Stegostoma tigrinum: one gene and its partner. The protein of the gene in region 1 interacts with the protein of each later gene in a biochemical or structural test. Links are inferred from orthologs where the notes say so. Each region holds a gene or a part of one and is shown in the gene's direction. Other genes may lie near its edges. The genes, in order: pdgfra and platelet-derived growth factor subunit A-like.

What was found.
Region 2: the proteins of pdgfra (region 1) and platelet-derived growth factor subunit A-like form a complex in vitro, tested with the Homo sapiens proteins (2 studies listed by BioGRID). The link is inferred for Stegostoma tigrinum from reciprocal best matches to the Homo sapiens genes PDGFRA and PDGFA.

What each region holds. Positions count from the first base shown.
Region 1 is NC_081354.1:107,875,779-107,885,790, forward strand, and holds the start of pdgfra (platelet-derived growth factor receptor alpha), read left to right. Parts: upstream 1-5,329; 5' UTR 5,330-5,801; intron 5,802-6,335; exon of another isoform or gene 6,336-6,615; intron 6,616-10,012. UniProt on the Homo sapiens protein: Tyrosine-protein kinase that acts as a cell-surface receptor for PDGFA, PDGFB and PDGFC and plays an essential role in the regulation of embryonic development, cell proliferation, survival and chemotaxis.
Region 2 is NC_081376.1:37,109,661-37,120,176, reverse strand, and holds the start of platelet-derived growth factor subunit A-like, read left to right. Parts: upstream 1-5,986; 5' UTR 5,987-6,905; coding exon 6,906-6,965; intron 6,966-8,051; coding exon 8,052-8,148; intron 8,149-10,516.

The sequences.
Region 1 (10,012 bases):
CAGACTAATTACATCAATCCGCATAAAAATCACTGTGTGAACGGACAATGGGTCATTGCCAAAGTTATGCAATTAACCTAAAGTCTTCTCGGATTTTGTGATGATGATTGCGCGGGAGTTGAGCACAAGACTGAGTCCGAGGCTGGAGTGCTTCCACCCGGGAATAATGGATGACAAACAATGCGCTGCTGCCAGGTCAGAATGCCATGGTTCTCAGAGGCAAACATGTCCTCTCGTTAGTCACCCAGAAATGTGCCAAGCTCAGCAATGTCATTATCTTGTCATTGTTCGTTCAAACTCTCGATTTGCTGCTCTATTAAACAGGCCCCGCGTTTACAAACCGTGTATTATAGCTCTGCGTTGCACTTTTTTCTATAAACAAGTATCAAAATACAACGAGCGATGCATTAAAGAAAAACCTTTTAAGCTGAAAGCGTTGTTGTAATTATCAGGCAGCCCACTGCAACGAAACAAAACTTATCTACCAGTTTTTATATTAAACCCTGCACTGCTTGGATTGAGCAACAGCGGTAATTGGTTTTGGTTAACCAGGGGCAGCCACGTCCCGTGAATAAATAAAACAAAAGTTCTGTGAGTCTTTGACAGTCATGATGACATTTAGCACCTCTATGCTGACTTATTCCTCCTAGATACCTATTAGACCTAGCGTTGTTCATCTTTCTCAGGAAGGGTCACTGGACCCGAAACTTTAACTCTGTTTTTTCCTTCACTGGTGCTGCCAGACCTACTGAGCTTTTCCAGCAACTTTGGTTTTGTTCATCTTTCTTGTTGGTCTGTCTCTGGTTGTCACTGCCTACGTCCATCTATCACTGCCATCCCTGTGCCATCTGTTCCTTTTCATGACCAATTACCTGTCAATTGCATTTAACCAGCTGCTTTTCCATGTGAACAGTCATTCAGGAAATGCCACATTTTGCATCATTTGTGGTCTTCTGCTGCGGACAAGAAGCACCTGAAATCATTCAGTCAGGCTGGAGTGACAAAGGAGAAGAGGAGGCGAACAGGACTCGGTTTTTTTAAAACCTGAGGTTGCAGGCGAGATAGGCAACTAAATTTGTCGTTTCATTGAGCTGGGCTCGAGGTGTGAGCTAGTCACATAGAGAGCCACCGTACTGAGTTCTACCGCAGTTGGCAGACCGAGAGAAAGCCCTTTCACATTTATACACCAAGTAGCGCTCCGTTTGGCTTAACGCTGGGCTGAGAATTGATTAACAGCTCCCCGCGAATTTTATAACACGTCCCAGAACTTCAGAGATAGTAGGAACTGTCGATGACTTGCTATTCTAGATAAAAAGTAAAGAACTTTACGAGTACGCTCATTAAATATGAATCGGAAAGTTAAATGGAAACGCAAATGGCTGAAGAGAGAATAGTATTTATGAATGATAAAATAGTTTATGGTGAAGAACTACGCAGTATCCTGGGTGACAGTAGAGTGGGTTAGACGGATAGACTGGGAGTTGACCTTTTCTCATTTCCACTCCAGCAAGTGTTCTAATCCGATATGACACGAAAAGGTCCCGCTTTTTAAAACTGCTTTAGTGTGAGGGCAAGGTATTGAGAATAGTCTTGATGAAAACAAACGGTACAAACCGAGTTCTGGCTGGTGGTCCGTGTTTCTGAAGAAAGCAGGATTGAGAGGTGCAATGAAAAGTCTTGTAGAGTGCAGTTGGTCCAGCAAAATGTCTTTGCCAGTTCCGAAAGAACCTGTGTTTGATTACATTGTTCATCTGTTGTGAAACGTTCATGAACGACATTGTTACAGTCGGGGCATGTGCCAGCGAGAGAGAGAGAGAGAGAGAGAGAAATCAGTACACTGCCACTGGAAACGAATGGAGCTTTTAAGTTCAGGAGCGAGTCTCAGAACGCAAGATACGAGTCAAACAACATTCAAGTGAGGATACTCTAGAAGGTGCCAAACCAAACGATCATTAAGACTGAACCGGATCGAATGTGGTCATAAAACAAAGCTCACACACTAGAACTAATTGCGCTCCTGGTTGTAAATGGCCAGCATCAGTTTGTAAAACTGTAGTTTTAAAGCTGGGATCGAAAACCAGATGAAGTCTCGGTTTACGAACCAGTCAGCTACATCAAAGGGAAAGCAACTGCGTTCGCCTTCGCTGACAACTCAGTCCCAAAGCGTTCACAACGGCCAGATTACACCGAAAAAAAAAAGACTTGAAACCCCCGCACAACTCCGGCAGCTCCATATCGAGCAAAAAATTATTTATCCCGTGGACAACACTCACAGCGGGGGTGGTGGGGACAGAATTTCACAGAGCACACTGAACAAATACGAGCTAACAGTTCATAGAATATCCCACAGATTGGACCTTGATAGCGGCCTGTTATCAATGCGAGAGGTCCCTTGTGACACATGGTGAAGGGAGTTGGGACAGTCAGGGAGCCATCCACGGACACATATGGTGTGCATTTAAACGCTTCCTATTAGAGTATGGCCTGATAAGAGACAAATAAACAAACAGACCTGTCACTTTGGGAGACATTTTCTTACCCCCCCTCCCTTATACCCGTTCGGACCACACAGCGCCTCTGTGCTGGCTGGGTAGTTTATTAATTGTCTTTCCCGGCAGTTTGATTCACCCCAGTAGGAGCAACGGAACCCAGCTGCTCTGACTAATCTACCCCCAAAAAGAAAAGAAATCATGAGGAAGGACAAGTTACGGATTGCTTTCAACAGTATCGCGGGCCCCCTCTGGTCAAATGGCTTTCTTGGTCTCCGTGTCATTTGCACCCACGCAGCCCCCTAATAAAGTCAAGGAGTTAGTCTGTCATTGAATTCAATTAGGTTAGCTCCAAAAAGAGTGATAATTGCCTTTTAAACACAAAATCCTTTCACCAAACTCCCAAACTTGCAAATAACTTATTACACCGTGGAATCTTTATTTGTTTAAAGTATTCGTTAAGGAGAGCAAAGCGGAGGTTTGGGAATGAAGGAGCAAATTACTGCAGATGTTATTCTGAGTCTGGGAACGGGAGTTAGATCGATAACAGCAGCGCTGCTCATTGCTGACGGGCAGGCACTGAGCTCCCCCTGAAGATGCAGTGTTACCAACACATGCAAGTCTCACAGTTCTGTGCTTATCTTCGCCGGAGTGCCGGGGTACTGAAGCAGAGCGCATGTTATGTCGTGGAATGGAAATCGCCCCCAACCAGACTGCTGAATTAAAACATGCTGTAGCGTAATGTTAAGAGTAACCTGGGTAAAGAGCATGTTTACGTCAGACCAATTTGCGTTGTGTGGACGCACGTCTTCCCACAGTAACGAGGTTATGATCTAACAATGACACATCTGTCCACATCAGGATTGATCGAGTGGGCCGTGTATCTTTCCGTTTTATTTCAGAAGAAACCCTCCCAATCCAGGCGAATAAATATGCGCATACGCTGATAATCTCCCGTTCAAAATCGCAAGTCTTCCTCTGCACTTGCTGGGTTTATTCCAGCAGGTATAGAGGTGGTTCTGCTGTACCCCTGCATCCTATGGGCCAGGTGCACAAGCGCCCAGACGAGGGATTTTCTATTACACTGGAGGCTGAGCAATCTCAGCTCTTTGGGCCAAACGATTGCCCTGGCCAAGCCTGCAATCTTGCCGACCTTTACCTTCAACCAGCCCAATAGGCCGTGGACATCATCCTTGGGAGCAGGCGGGTGGGGTTAATGGTGTTCCTCTAGTTCGGAATCCCTTCAAGATGGCCTGTTGGTGAGAAGCTGAAAGTGGAGCCTCGATTGTTGACTGGCGGGTCAGGGCGGTGTGTACCTAGCTAGGGCTCACAGGGAGCTCGGCTGCTGACTGGAGGTGGTATTCCACCGACCTGTTCTTCTCCCCACACACCCCTCCAAACGCTGCAGGTCAGTGCGCCGAGGGAGTGACCTTGTATTGGAAATCTACACTGTAGTAATTCAGCAACAGAGAGCTCACCTTCACCTTGCATCAAGTTTACTCTGTGCTTGACCTTCCATCCACGTATTCATCATTCCCGACAAAGTCAATTAACTGGATGTTTGCAAGAGGCAGCAATGTTTTTCAAATTGCAACCAATTGACTCAAACTATTGTTCGGTCTGCCGACTGATGTACACTCAAACCATTACAATCTCAGGCTCAGACTTGTAAATAGGATATAGCTACACTCTAACCCCCCAGCGTGGCTTCTTAGAGTTATTTGATTTCTTACAAGATAACGCAGTCGGTGTTTAAACAATAAACTGAAATAATTTCTTAGTTGGAAAAACAGCTAAATGTACCACCGAGGGTGAAAACATGACAAGTCCAAAGAGCGAGAAACTCAGCGAAGTATTCGGGAAATAACAACAGGGTTTGAAATGGACAGGGACTGCAAAACTCTCGGCTTTTTTTTCCCTTTTTGAAAAGTTAGTCTATCGATCGGCGCGTGTGCCGTCACTAATAGTTTATAAACACGCTCTTATTTACATCAAACACATTCGAACGTTCTCTCAGATGGGTAAGAGACTGTTTCTTTCGGAATAATACGGTATCTCCGAGCATCCAGAAACAAGAGGTTCCCCAGATTGGCCTCGCTGTTGCCTCCAATGATTTCCTGAAACACATGTGGAAGTAATATTTGGCCTGTTCACTCCCAGCGCTGAAGATATATTACTGCAGCTAACGGCTGGGGGCAAGATGAGAAACAGCAGCGAGCTACACAAAAAAAAAACAGGAGAACGAACAAGCCCGCTCCTTCCAGCGGGCACCCAGTGTTGGCACATAGTTTGCACAATTGCTCCCCGCCACATTTCTTTCGATATTTACACCCTTGCTTTATCCCAATTGATTAGAAGATGGAGACGGTCTGAGCTTGTTAGACAACATGTCAAACCGACCTTTTCATGCAGCCAGTTCGGGTTTTTAAATGCAAAGAGAGCAGGCGATCTCACCTCACTCCTGGGCAATAACTCCCAAGGAACAGAACAAGGGCGCCTCCTGCCTTCACTGGTCAATATTGAATCAGGTCATTACGCGAAACGATCTGTTTACAACATACTTAAATCATTTTACCCAGTGTTTAGGAATGTCTTCTGTTTCCTATAATCCCAAAATAAAACACTTTGCAGATTTATTGCGGTTGACAACGTTCAGGAGGACATTAAAAATACTATGCAGTTCTCTTTCCCCCAAACCCTACCCCCACACCTCTCTAAACAAAACTCTGGCAAACAATCCTCAAATCTCTCAAGCCATTTCTATTTGAGTGACACTAACATTACAAACGTAACTGTCCCACTACATTGGTACTGAGCACAGATCAGCCGCGTTTAACAAGGGCTGGGAATTCATTCATAAAGACTAGCTATCCTTCCGTGAGCGTATTGTCAGCACGGGCGGAGGGGTGCAACTTGGGGAGAGAGAGAGAGAGGGAAACATTTTCGTCCATATAAAACTTGCTTCAAAATGCACATATGGCAATTTTCTGCGCAAGACAGCCTGAATGTGACTGCCCTGCGTGGATAAGAGTTTGGGAAGGCTAGCTTCGACCGCCTGAAGCCAATAGGGCTCCAAGAGCAGCGTGTGATCTGCGGACTCTTATTCTGAAGCGACTTCAGGGGCTTCATTTCCTGACAGTTATTTACTTAAAGCAGATGATTAGTTTTTTTGGAAGGATGGACTGCAACATTGAATCAATTACAAGTCGCCGTTCTTTGAGCCATTAAACAATCTGAGCCCAGCTCCAGAGTGAAACGTACATGCTGCCCCTGTTCGGAACAGAAGTTGGTGGACTTACCACTTTGCACAAGGTAGGGGGCAAACAAATCATTTTTATAAAGGCGTGCGGGGCGAGAGTGGGGGCCCTGTTTTATCTCCTTGTGTAAAATCTGTTAGTAAATAGGTCTGGCGTTCCAGACGACAATATAGATTGCACCCACAGCTGTGCCTGCACACATCCCTCTGCTGGTTCGCCGTCGGTCCAAAGGGGCACAAGCATCTTAAGGACTAGGAGAACTGCTTGTACTTTATTATGTAAGAGTCTTGTTCATATCGTCGATTGTTCTCAGAAGGCTGTTCGCTTTGGCCAGCGATGGAGTATGAAAGTGGTGCGTTTCATTGAGTGGAGTGCATGTTTTGAGTTTGGAAGTGAGCGCTTATCTGAGAGTGTGTGGCATGTTAGAGCGGTACCGTTATCGAGTGAGGAAACAGAGCGGCTCTGTGCACGGTCTTGGGTCATGATAACCGTCCCGCTGCATTTAACTTGGCCAGCCGCGCTGCAGACTGATGGCTCCATTGCATAATACCTATAATAATGACAAACACATTGGCGCTGGATGTGGGAGCCACCGTGAGCCTGCGTCAGGGATTTGAGGAATTTCGGACGAAGTGGAGGCTTTCTGTCTCTCCTTCTCTCTTCCTGGGAATACTCCGCTGTCCTGGGATCGAGGGTGGCGGAGGGAGAGATTTGGGGATTGTACAGGAGTTCTGGCGTGCGGATGAATCACGTAAACAGGAAGGAGGGAGAAGTGAGCCAATGCTTGTTGGCTAGTCCGTGAGGGAAAGCAGTATCGGGAGGTTTCTGCGAAACTTGCGAGAGGGGAAAGTAGCAGCAGGATAAACGAGGTAGGAATCAATGTAGTATTTCAGTAATATCTCTCTCTTCGCTCCTTTTCTTATAACTTGTTTCTTTCTTCATCATTTGGCTGTAGTTAGACTCACTCTCAGGAAACTTGATCATTCATTTTAATCATTTCCTTCATTCAAACCCCCTTCAGTTCTGGAAGAGAATGAACAGTAAAACTTACAACTTTACTCCGATTCTCTCTAAGCCGACTTTTCCCACTTGCTGTTCCATCGTTCGCACTATTTTGTCACTTTGCCCCCACCCCCAGGTCCTTTAGCCTCTATAGTTATCCACTCGCCCACTGCCCAACTCCCCCCCCCCCCACTCTCTCTGTTTTACCGCTGTACCCAAAAATAGTTTCTCTACTCTGGTACTGGATTTTTTGTTTTCTCTGAGAGGTGCGTCTGATTTGCTGTCTGCCCTGCTCCGTGTGCCCGTTGCCTTCTCTTGCTCAGGAAACACCCGGAGCAGACCCTTTGCCCGGCATCCCCCCCCCCCCAACACCCCACACAGCACTTCCCCGCGCCGATCTCCCCTGCTCCCCTCTTTTTGCCGGGGACTCGATCCGGAGATTGAGAAGCGGCAGACGGACCGATGGACGGGTAAACATTTGGCCCGAAGTAGTCGCAGCTCTTCATCAGAAGTGCCAAAAGCCAGTGGGAGGGCTGTTGAAACCGAGACCCTGCTGGGTGGCACTGAAATGGTTAAGAGCAGCGCAGATACAGAGAGAGAGAGAGAGAGAGAGCGCAGCGCTCCGCGCGGTGGGTAGCTGGCACTTTAAGAAGCCCCAGCTCTTATTGAGAAAAGTAAAGTCGGTAACAATGGGACTTCTGTAAGGCTATCTTCTGATAAAACAGCTCCTGTTGTCGGGAAATCCTTTCTGTTTCTCTCTTTCTCTCTAATCCTTTTATTTAACCAAGTTAACCAAGACTGTGACTAAAACATGTTCGCTTTCAGTTGTCCTGGCCTCTCTGTTGTCATTATTCCCAGTCCCATCCTCTGCTCACAGTTCAGTCTTTCATGAACGGAGCGGAGCTCCACACTTTGTTATCTTGGAGCCCTGTTGAGGTGAGATTTTCGACGCAGAATCAAGCCAGCGGGTGGTGTCCCAAAGATTTCGAAATGTTCGCCTTTGGGAGGCGACTCTATTTGCACTGCCAGCTCACAGGACCCCTGCAGGATTTTGACCGAGCGGAGAGAGGATGCGCTTTGCCTATTCACTCCCCTGGGACATCCCAGGGGTTTGGTGGCGAATCCAGGGGGTAGTTTGGAGCTGACCTCCTCACACTGGAGTCTGCTCCCCGTCTTGTTGCACTTAAAGGACGCTTGGAGGAATCTGATAAATTACCCTAGGGTTTAGCACGTCCCAAATGCACATCCTCCACAACAAAAACAACCTGAATCAAAGCCGGTTACTCAGGTCAAGCCACTCTGCTGCTGAGTAATCCCGGACAGGCAGGATGAGAGCGGCGGGTGGGTATAACTGAGTGGCCTGCAGCCTGTCCCCCAGGTCTCTGGCTGTTTCGCCCCTTTGTAACGTGGAGTCAACTCGAGTCTTCACCAGGTTCTTTTTTCTACCTTCAAACATCGCTTGGGATTACGAATATTGAATGCAGAATGTAAATGCTATATCTGTAACTTGCTGTTCCTCTCACAAACATTAATAGAGGTTTAAAATGTCATCAGATTGACAATGACAAAGGATACCCTCCTGCACGTGACAAAACTGGGATGTGGGTGCTGTACGTTTTTTTCCCTACTGCAAGTATTTCGAGAACACTTGTGTGTGTGTGTGTGTGTGTGTGTGTGTGTTTTCCTTAATAAAGTTACAAGGTACGCCAATGTATAGTTCACCCAAGTCTAGTTCTCTCAGCAGCGCCCTTATCCGCACAAGAAAACCCAATCAAACTTTACATGCATGTAAATACAATCCCACGTGTGCATCTAGCACCCCCTACAGACCAGAGGAGAAGTGCAAATGGGATTGAACGAAAATAAATCATTTACGCCCCTCTTGTTCCCCGCTGACTGCCAATAAATGGTAATAACTGGATTTCAGGAAGTGACATTCCCGGGGGAGAACTGAATTGACAAGGATTGGTTCCAGTCATTGTGATACCACAATGAGAGTGTTACTCCTGTCTACAGTGGAGGAGCGCTACACCCAGGGGCTTCTCATTCTGAAAAAAGACCCTCAGAATTTCCGGATTCGGTGGTCTCAATGTTCTGGCGAGTTCTAACAGGCTAAACCGGAGAAATAGAACGAAACCGACATCGACTGCAACGTTAAGACATTAATAAAATGATGTTGCCAGTGGGATGCCTCACTAAAGTGCTGCAATAACCAATTTGCTGTTGTGTGCACATACCCAGTGTAGACCCGTGTGTTCCACTTTGGAAATTGGACACACAAACAGTTTAAACCTTATTTACAGGTCTAAACATCTGGTGTGTTTCACTGGGCTTTGAGTAAGAATTCTCCGTTGACGATCTCAGTTGTATTAGAGAGCCACGCTTTGGCTTGAAGCAGGAATGCAGTCATTTCATGGTAATCCCATAGCGCCAGGGTCCCTAAAAGCGGTTGACGTTTGTAAACAACCCTGCTTATTATATACTTATTACGTTAGTTAACCTTCATTTAAGGAACAGAGTACTTCTTTAAACTAAAATAGCCATATGTACTTTCTTTTGAGAGTCTGTGTTTTAAAGCGGGGAAGTGCTCCCATTTATTCAAACTTTCATTTCAGGGCTAAAATCCTGGGGATGTTGTTGCACTAAATCCTGACAAATTTATTCGGCCGATGTGGCAGTTAGGTTTGTCCCAGGTACCATTCTCAGAAATGATAATTAAAAGTAACTCCTAATTGTCTGGGTTGTCAGCGTGAACAGTCTCGAGGAAATAACATGGATTTTGAAAGCACTTTTCCTGTGAAATCGATTTCCCAAGAAATACTGAGATAACAAGCTGCAGAGCTGGATGAACACAACAGGCCAAGCAGCATCAGAGGAGCACAAAAGCTGACGTTTCGGGCCTAGACTGAAGAAGGGTCTTGGCCCAAAACGTCAGCTTTCCTGCTCCTCTGATGCTGCTCGGCCTGCTGTGTTCATCCAGCTCTACACCTTTGATATTTCAGATTCTCCATCATCTGCATTTCTTGCTATCTCCCAAGAAATACTCGTGTTTTTGCTTTACTCTCTTGTGCAATCGTTTCCCGTTATCATCTGATTAGAGGGTAAGGATGAAAACTTGCCTTTTTCCTGTTTGTTTTATATGGAAGCGTCAAAGCCACGTTAATCTAATTTGATAATTATTTCGAGAAATGAATAAATAGATCAATTGGAATTCGTCCAAGGTAAATACGTTCTACCTATGTGAACGGCTGTACCATTAGTATG
Region 2 (10,516 bases), on another chromosome or scaffold:
GGAACCTATGAGCAATTGACCTTGTAGTTTTCTTGCTGAGCAGATAGAAAGTTACATTATAAATTGATAGCGTTTATAGACAATAGGTGCTGGAGTAGGCCATTCGGCCCTTTGAGCCAGCACCACCATTCATTATGATCATGGCTGATCATCCACAATCAGTATCCTGTTCCTGCCTTATCCCCATAACCCTTGATTCCACTATCTTTAAGAGCTCTGTCTATCTCTTTCTTGAAAGCATCCAGAGAGTTGGCCTCCACTGCCTTCTGGGGCAGAGCATTCCATATATCCACCACTCTCTGGGTGAAGAAGTTTTTCCTCAACTCTGTTCTAAATGGCCTACCCCTTATTTTTAAAATGTGTCCTCTGGTCCTGGACTCACCCAACAGCGGAAACATGCTTCCTGCCTCCACAGTGTCCAATCCCTTAATAATCTTATACGTCTCAATCAGATCCCCTCTCATCCTTCTAAACTCAAGAGTATATAAGCCCAGTCGCTCCAATCTTTCAACGTATGATAGTCCCGCCATTCCGGGAATTGACCTTGGGAACCTATGCTGCACTCCCTCAATAGCAAGAATGTCCTTCCTCAAATTGGGAGACCAAAATTGCACACAATACTCCAGGTGCGGTCTCACCAGGGCCCTGTACAGCTGCAGAAGGACCTCTTTGCTCCTATACTCAATTCCTCTTGTGATGAAGGCCAGCATGCTACTAGCTTTCTTCACTACCTGCTGTACCTGCATGCTTGCTTTCATTGGCTGATGTACAAGAACACCTAGATCTCATTGTGCTTCCCCTTTACCTAACTTGACTCCATTGAGATAGTAATCTGCCTTCCTGTTCTTGCCACCAAAGTGTATAACCACACATTTATCCACATTAAACTGCATCTGCCTTGCATCCGTCCACTCAACTAGCCTGCCCAAGTCACCCTGTATTCTAATAACATCCTCCTCACATTTCACACTGCCACCCAACTTTGTGTCATCAGCAAATTTGCTAATATTACTTCTAATGCCTTCGTCTATATCATTAATATATATCGTAAACAGCTGCGGTCCCAGCACCGAACCTTGTGGTACCCCACTGGTCACCGCCTGCCATTCCGAAAGGGACCTGTTTATCACTACTTTTTGCTTCCTGTCAGCCAGCCAATTTTCAATTCAACTCAGTATTTTGCCCCCAATACCATGTGCCCTAATTTTGTTCACCAATCTCCTATGCCGGACTTTATCAAAGGCTTTCTGAAAGTCCAGGTACACTACATCCACTGGCTCTCCCTTAACCATCTTCAGATACATCCTCAAAAAAATCCAGAAGATTACTCAAGCACTATTTCCCCTTCAAAAATCCATGCTGACTCTGGCCTATTCTGTTACTGCTATCCAAAGAGAATGCTATGCAAGAGAAATAAAGGCTTCCATTTATACCATAGGGCATTCCAAGTTACACACAACTGAGCTTTATTGGAGTGTAGTCACTGTTTGAACGTAGGAAACATGGCAGATAATTTATGCAGAGCAAACTCCTACAAACAGTATTGCGATGATGGCGTGTAATGTCGATTTAAGAATAAACGTAGGCAAGACACCAGTCAGAACTCAATTGCTCTTCGAAAGTGTGGGATCTTAACGGTTCCATCCGAAAGGACGCACAGGCCCGCAATATCAGATCTCATTGGAAAAGCAGCACTTGGTTCAATACCTTTTGTGCTCCGCCGTCAGAACCAGACCCAGACCAACGAACTCAGAAGTGAGTGATCCAGTGAACCCACAGCCGACATAAATAGCTGCCATATCATCCTCTCGACAACATTCCATGTTGAAATCAATCTACATATGCATTCAAAATTTAGAAGCAAGATTTATTTGAACTTTCAATGCATTCACCATCAGCAGGTTGACACCGCGCTGAAGACTGGTTTGGGTTAAATACCAAATAAATGTCTACTAGCTGTTACTGCAGATGGCATAATTGCACCGACTCAGTCTAAAGCTACTTAGTTTCGGCATGCACCCAAGAGCGACACAAAAGCCCCGTGCGGTGATACAATCAAGAGCAGAAAACAGGATTCTCGACTTCCTACTGTTTGCAAACTTATATTTGGTCGCATTCATCTTGTTTTTAACACTACTTGTGTATTTACAGCAACTGGCATAAAACTAAAATGTTAATAACTTGATTAACTTTATTAAGCTCCGGTCCCACTTGACAGGGATTAAGATATGACTACGAAAACGGATTAAGTGTGTACTTTGCACTATTCCCACTCCCCTTCGATCAAAGTCTGGCCTATTGGCGCCATACCACGGAACTATCAAAAAGCAAGTCGATTCTAATTTGCTCAATCTGTCGTTTTTTGCAATAAGTAGCTCGCACGCCTTGTTTCATCTGGTAAATGATCTCGCCGCTTCAAAATGAGTCCCTCATATCAAAGCAGAAAGCCGTGTGTGCCGCAAATTTCACGCCCAAACCGAACGCTGACACAGGCAGGCATGATTCAGGACCGAACGCGCTTTATGCTTAACGGAGTGGAAGGGGATGTGAACAACAGTGTTTGCAAACAGGAGGGTGGCACCACTAGCTTACAGCTGCTAATGAGATTCACTTCGGCCGCTTGCAGCTTCCGCACATGTCAGCGGGCCGCACGTGACACAGCCCGCAGGCGACTCCCCACAACGTCACAGCGTGGGAGCGGCTCTGATTAGGTAACCACGGCGGCACGTGTCACCAGGTGGGCATGCGCAGCTGGGCGAGCGGTGCACGCGCCTTTTCCAACGGCCGTTTAACCCCGCCCAAACCGGGTGGGGGGGGGCGCAGGAAAAGGGGTGGGATAAGGGATAATGGTCGGGGGCTGGGGTTAGATGGGATAAGGGGTGAGGAGAGTAGAAGGGGGAAGAGGAGGGAGAAGGAGAGGGGCGTGGGGAGAAGGTGGGGGAGGGGTGAAGGCGGAGGGAGTTGGGGAAGGCGGAGGGAGTTGGGGGATGGGGAGGAAATGGTGGAGGGATTTGGGGGATGGGAACGGGGTGGGACGAAGGCTGAGGGAGTTGGGGGAAGGCAGAGGGAGTTGGGAGAGGGGTGAAGCCGAAGGGAGTTGGAGGATGGCAGAGGGGTTTGGGGGATGAGGAGGGGTTTGGGGGATGAGGAGGGGGTTGGATAGGGAGGGATTTGGGGAATGGTGGAGGGATTTGGGGGATGGGGAGGGATTTGGGGGATGGGGAGGGGGTTGGGGGATGGGGAGGGGGTTGGGGGATGGGGAGGGGGTTGGGGGAAGGCGGAGGGGGTTGGGGGATGGCGGAGGGGGTTGGGGGATGGCGGAGGGGGTTGGGGGATGGCGGAGGGGGTTGGGGGAAGGCGGAGCGGGTTGGGGGAAGGCGGAGCGGGTTGGGGGAAGGCGGAGGGGGTTGGGGGAAGGCGGAGGGGGTTGGGGGAAGGCGGAGGGGGTTGGGGGAAGGCGGAGGGGGTTGGCAGAGGGTTTTGGGGTATGGCGGGGTTGGGGAAGGCGGAGGGAGTTGGGGGATGGGCAGGGAATGGTGGAGGGATTTGGGAGATGGGGAGGGGGTTGGGGGAAGGCAGAGGGAGTTGGGGTATGGCGGGGTTGGGGGAAGGCGGAGGGGGTTGGGAGAGGGGGAAAGGCGGAGGGAGTTGTGGGATGAGGAGGGGAATGGCAGAGGGATTTGGGGGATGAGGAGGGAGTTGGGGAATGCGGAGGGAGTTGGGGGATGGGGAGGGGGAAGGCGGAGGGAGTTGGGAGATGGGGAGGAGATTGGGTTTAGGTGGAGGGAGTTGGGGCAGGGGTTGGGGGAAGGTGAAGGGAGTTGGGGGATGAGGGAGAGGGGAATGGAGGGTAAGGGGGAAGGAGGTAAGGAAGAGGATGGGATGGCGGATGGGGAGGGTGGCGAGATGGGAACAGGTAGATAGAAGGAGGGGAAAAGAGGGATATGGAGAGGGGGAGGGGTAATTAGGGATGAGAATGGGGGAGGGGGAAGTAGTTGGATGGGGAAGGGGGTGAAAGAATGGGGAGGAAGCGGGAAAGGAATGTGAGGGGACATGGGGAAGGTGTGAAGGCATGAAGTAGTATACGACGGGTGGGGTTAGTGCAGTGGAAGGATCATGGCCTTGGATAGAAAAGGAAATATGAGGAAGAGGTTATGTGTTGAGGGAACTTGCTTGAGGAGAACAGAAAAATCCAATCATAACTCTCTGATGAAGGGTCTGGGCCCGAAACGTCAGCTTTTGTGCACCTGAGATGCTGCTTGGCCTGCTGTGTTCATCCAGCCTCACATTTTATTATCTATGATTAACTTGAAGCTTGCTGTCACCCAACTGTGGGTCAAAAACAGGTAGGTATGGGTCAGAATTCTTTTGTGTTTTCCATTATTTAAAATTATGAGGAAGTGTCTTGAAATTTGACTTGAAATGTTACCTCTGATTTCTCTCCACAGATGCTGAAATTTTCCAGCAATGTCAGTTTTTATTAAGAAATGTTTCTGTGTGAGGCACAGGAATGTCATGTGGGTAGAATAATACTCTGCTCAAGGAAAATGGCTTGCAGTAATGTTTCTACCTGCCCTTCCACATTATGATAGGGTGAAGTGAAAAACTGTGGGAAGTAACATTTATGGAAGATAAACACAGGCATAACCCTAACCACCCCAGCTATTCCACTCCCACCACTCTCTCCTATTGCCCCCCCACTCTCCTATTCCTGTCCCCACCCATCCCCTCCCCATTTCTCCAACCCTATTCTCCCCCCTCCAATATCCCTCCACCTATGCCCCCCGGTTCCGCTGTCTGCTCCCCCCTCAGCCCACTTCTTTCATTCCCCTTGTTCCCTCACCCCTCCACTATTCACCCCAACCCCCTCTCCTTGTACCCGCCTCGCATCCTCTCATTCTCCTCCACACCAGCTTCCCCCTCCCTCCCACTCCAGTGCCCACCCTCCCCTCCTTCTCCCCCTCCTCTACCATCTCCCCCTCCCTTCCTTCCAACCTCGCTCCTCTCCCCCTCCCTTTCCTCTCCTCTTCCCCTCTCCCTCTCTTCACCACCCTCCCTTCTCTCCCTCCGTTCTCTCCTCTCTCCTTTCTCATTTCCCTCTCCTCATCCCCCTCCCTTCTCACCGCCCTCCCATCTCTCTCCCCTCCCTTCACCTCCTCCCCTCTTTCCCCTCCCTTCTCCCCTTCATCCCTCATCCTTCTCCCCCTCACCACCCCTCTCCCTTGTGTCCCCCCCTTCACCTCCATCCCTTTTGTCCTCCCTCCCTTCACCCCATCCCTTCTGTCCCGCTCCCTTCTCCCCCATCACCCCATTCCTTCTGTTACCCCTCCCTTTTTCCTCCCTCACTTCTCTCCCTTCACCCCCATGCCTTCTTCCCTCTCCCTCTCCTCCCCCATCACTCTGCCCCCTCCCTCTTCGCGTCCCCGACCTTCTCGTTCATCCCCCCCTCCCGCCCTCCATTCTCTTCCTTTGGGGCAGCAGGGTGGCTCAGTGATTACCACTGCTGCCTCACAGCACCAGGGACCTGGGTTCAATTCTACCCGTGGGTGACTGTGTGGAGCTTGCACATTCTCCCTGTGTCTGCGTGGGTTTCCTCCGGGTGCTCCGGTTTCCTCCCACAGTCTGAAGATGTGCACGTTAGGTGGATTGGCTCTGGGAAATTGCCCATAGTGTTCAGGGGTGTGTTAGGTGGGTTACAGGGGTGTGTCTGGGTGGGATGCTCTCAGATTCGGTGTGGACTTGTTGGGCCAAGGGCCCGTTTCCACACTGTATGGATTCCCTTCTCACACTCATCTCTCTGCTCTCCCCCTCTCCATCTCCCTCTAACCCCACTTTCTCTACCTTCTCTTCCCCCCCCCCCCAACACCCCTCCCCGCCACTAAATCCCTCTCTCACCGTTCCCCACTGTCCTACCCCTCCTTACCACTCCCCCCTTGCACATCTCCCTCCCGGAGACTAGGAACCTGTGTTCTGTCATGGCCATGTACAGGACAGACGGAGTTGGGCTTCCAGGATAGCAGGGACCGGCCAGGGTGATTCCGCGCATTGCGGTGAGCTCACCGTGTGCCCAAGGGCAGGAGCCACGGGCCATAAGGAACTGTGCCTGGGCGGAGACCGTGTGCGAGAGCCGCCTCTCGCTGTCCTAGTAACTCGCCAGTCGGCGGCGTGATGTCAAACTGTCTCAGTCTACAGCTCTTTTCGAGGTTGGAGTTGGGGGCATGAGGAGCTCTACAATCAGCCTCTGTTCCTTTGTCAGAGTGGGATCATCAAGCTCTCGGCAAGGCGCTTCTACACCGGCTCTAACATTTTTCATCCGATATGGCAGCGATTTCTAAACCGAAAGGAAACCCTTTCTCCTTGCCCACCGTGTGAACTTCGGCCGCTACCGGACAAACTGCAAGAATTAACAACTCGAGCTCAAATTAATTGAAAGAATTAAATTGGGGAAAAACTCCAAAAACAGTTTGCCAGATTTTGAATTCTGTCTTATTGTGTGTCTTTAAATGGGATCGTCCAACTGGTGAATTTTCAAAATAACAGGAATAAGTCCATATTTATGATAAATTCTCTCAGAGACTCAGTGTCCCATCCCCTTTTTTCTCCTGTGCAGCCAGACAGGTGATGGGCGTATCAGTCCGGTGCAGTGTTGACTCATGGGTTTTTCAGTTTGGTCTGATCTGAACAAATATGCAGATCTACCGGCTGGTCTACTGCTGATGCCAGAGAGAGAGGAAGAGAGAGAGAGGACGGCAAGGAAACGTACAAATCCAATGTGAAACAAGAAAAAAAATCCTCACTCTAGTTACTTTTCCGAGGGATGGTACTGATTTTTTCTGCGATAGGGGCGCCGCTGAAGCTCCTAAATGATCGATTCTCGCTGCAGGACAAACTTAAAGTGAAACGAAATGCGAGCCACGGTTTATTTCATTCTGGGCTTTTGCTACCTGACCTGTGCGCGTACAGAGGTAAGCTATTACTTTAAAGCACAATAACTCAACCTCCTAATGGCTGCCCGCTGTCCATGCTCTCTTTATTTATCTTGAGTGATAGCGGATGGTTCTTCTGCAGTTTTCTTTGAGCTTTTGTGTGTGTTTTTTTTAACGAGCTGTGCTTTTGTTAACCAGTCCCTGGCCGCAAAGCTGGCTCTGTGCAATCGCAGTTCGTCTGCTAGACAAGTCTTGCGTCGGTTTTTCCGCCAAATGTGCTTGCAAATAGTCCGCTCCGTTAAAATCGGGCAAACGGTTCTGTTGCTTTTTGTTTTATTCCCTCAGGGAATGGATATTTGTGCACTGCACTAAGTTGGTGCATGACAGCATTTTTTGCTGCAGGTCTTGGCTTGTGCTCCGAAACGCCTCAGTGTTCACTAAGTGAGCTGGAGCAAATAAAGGGGAAAACGATCGGGAGCGGCCAGAATGGTGACTTTTATTATCTTCTTTCTCCCCGAAAGACATCAGATCTGGAAGGGAGGGAAAGCAGCACAACAAATTATTGTTATCGCTTGAAGGCTAGGTTTGGGGTCAAAGTACCGGCGTGGCGGAGGTCTCTCTGTTACGGCTTGTGTTTGTCTCCGATCAAAGTATCAGACTGTGCAAGAGTTACAAGGAAACAAAACACCAGGTGCTCCACTCCGAGCCCACTAACCTTCTGGTGCGCTTGATTTAGCACTGCTACATTTTGTTCGGCCACCGACTGCGAATCAGTGAGAACGAGTGCAATGGTGGTTTGCAAAACGATCTTGCTCCCTTGTCGGTCACTTCAGAGCTGTTTACTGTGTGAAGCTGGGGCTGAGCATTCGATCTGAAGGCATCATGCTCACAACCTCAAGTGCGCGCTGGTTTTACTCGGCCTGTCTCAACCCCGTTTTACACTGCATGCCTTCCAAGAGTGGGTCAGCCCGGCGTACGTTCAAATGATTTATAAAGTTTCTAAAGAACTTAGAAAGTTTATTTTTAGTTAAAACATTTTTACCGGGGAGTAAGATGCGTCATTTGTTTTGTCCATTATTTTATTTTTGCACTTATTTTCGCTTATTTGGCTCATTTTCTTCCAAGGAAGCTGAATTTCCCCCAGAATTGCTTGAGAAGCTGGCACACAGTGATATTACCAGCATCCGCGATCTTCAGCGCCTCCTGGAGATTGAATCCGTAGGTAAATTATGTTTATATGTATATATTACCTTCTTTGTCTCACACATGGGACCACGTTATTGCCCTGCAACAGTAAACCGTACATTTCACGCTTCCTGTCATGTTTATTAATTGTTTCTTGTGTAATGAAATGAAGTCTGTGGATTTCAGAATCTTGTCTTAAAACATCAATGCAGACAGGCTGCAAGGCAGCTAGCGATCTCTGTAACATTACAACCAGGGCGTCGCTCTCAATGACCGGGGTATTCCACTTTGTTAAAACCCCTCCTCCCAACCCAACCCCACACAACACAAAAAATAAATTGTGAAAGGCTTGGAACTGCATTTTTGAAGTCAGCCTGTGATGGCACGGCGCGTCCGCCGTCCCACACTAAGCAAGAGTACTTGATGTTTGAGGCGTTTATAGTAGAAACACCGGATGGATATTTTATTTGTACAGACGGTTTGTTGAATGTCGTGTGAATTACAAGCGTCAAAACTGAAAGACAGCAAGCACTTGAGAGTGCCTCAGTAATGGTAATCAGCACATTGATCCGTTTGACCAGAGAAAGGATTGATCTCCTTGATGCAGAGTTTGAGCGTTAAACATGCCCTCGAAGTAGACAGCACCCCCTAACAACTATCCCGAGGGATCTATTTGTGGAGAACATTCAGAAATATGTTAGGTGATAGTCATAACACAGAAGTACTTGCAGACAGCTCAACTTCAAATACGTTTCACGGTTGAATGCTTCATTCGAAATACTGTATAATGGAAGACATAAAATACTGCAATTAAAAGCCTATATATTTTTCAAACCGTGTTCCAGTAATGACGATAAACCTGCAAGTATACAATTTTAGTGGAAAATGGTGGGGTGGGTTATTCAAGTTCACTAAAGATAACAAAGTGTGGAGCTGGATGAACACAGCAGGCCAAGCAGCATCTCAGGAGCACAAAAGCTGATGTTTCGGGCCTAGACCCTTCATCAGAGAGGGTGCAATGAGTTTGCACTCTCTGATGAAGGGTCTAGGTCCGAAACGTCAGCTTTTGTGCTCCTGAGATGCTGCTTGGCCTGCTGTGTTCATCCAGCTCCACACTTTGTTATCTTGGATTCTCCAGCATCTGCAGTTCCCATTATCACTATTCAAGTTCACTGTTTTCTTGACGCAGAAACTACTTGATCATTGAGCATTTAACACATTCGCTCCATCCATGTACAGTACTTTTTATTTTAAATACCAGGCCACTGGAAGCTTAACAACCACTGATTCTTTTCCCAGCTTTTGATCAATTAACAACAATTGGACACTGAGGACAACTTTTTAAAAATATTTAGCAAGGAAGAAAAACCTTATGTAGCACCTTTCACACCCATGGGGATATTCCAAAGGACTGCACAGTCACCAAAGAATCTTTTGAACTTCTGTTGCAATATGGCATCCAATTTGTGTACAGCAAAATCCCACAATAGTAATTACCAGATAATTTGTTTTAATGATGTGGTTTGAGTGAAATTGCATCAGGCATCCTGCTCTCTTTCAAATAGTTCCATAAAATATATCTGAGAGGGCAAGCTGATCCTTGGTGTAAAATCTCCGTCTGAAAGACCGATGAGATCTTGCCACAATGTTGAGATGGTAAATTCAAAACCTATGTCACTAGGGTTAAGAGAACAAAATGTGAGGCTGGATGAACACAGCAGGCCAAGCAGCATCTCAGGAGCACAAAAGCTGACGTTTCGGGCCTAGACCCTTCATCAGAGAGGGGGATGGGGAGAGGGAACTGGAATAAATAGGGAGAGAGGGGGGGAGGCGGACCGAAGATGGAGAGTAAAGAAGATAGGTGGAGAGAGTATAGGTGGGGAGGTAGGGAGGGGATAGGTCAGTCCAGGGAAGACGGACAGCTCAAGGAGGTGGGATGAGGTTAGTAGGTAGCTGGGGGTGCGGCTTGGGGTGGGAGGAAGGGATGGGTGAGAGGAAGAACCGGTTAGGGAGGCAGAGACAGGTTGAACTGGTTTTGGGATGCAGTGGGTGGGGGGGAAGAGCTGGGCTGGTTGTGTGGTGCAGTGGGGGGAGGGGACGAACTGGGCTGGTTTAGGGATGCAGTAGGGGAAGGGGAGATTTTGAAACTGGTGAAGTCCACATTGATACCATATGGCTGCAGGGTTCCCAGGCGGAATATGAGTTGCTGGTTCTTCCTCTCACCCATCCCTTCCTCCCACCCCAAGCCGCACCCCCAGCTACCTACTAACCTCATCCCACCTCCTTGACCTGTCCGTCTTCCCTGGACTGACCTATCCCCTCCCTACCTCCCCACCTATACTCTCTCCACCTATCTTTTCCTCTATCCATCTTCGGTCTGCCTCCCCCTCTCTCCCTATTTATTC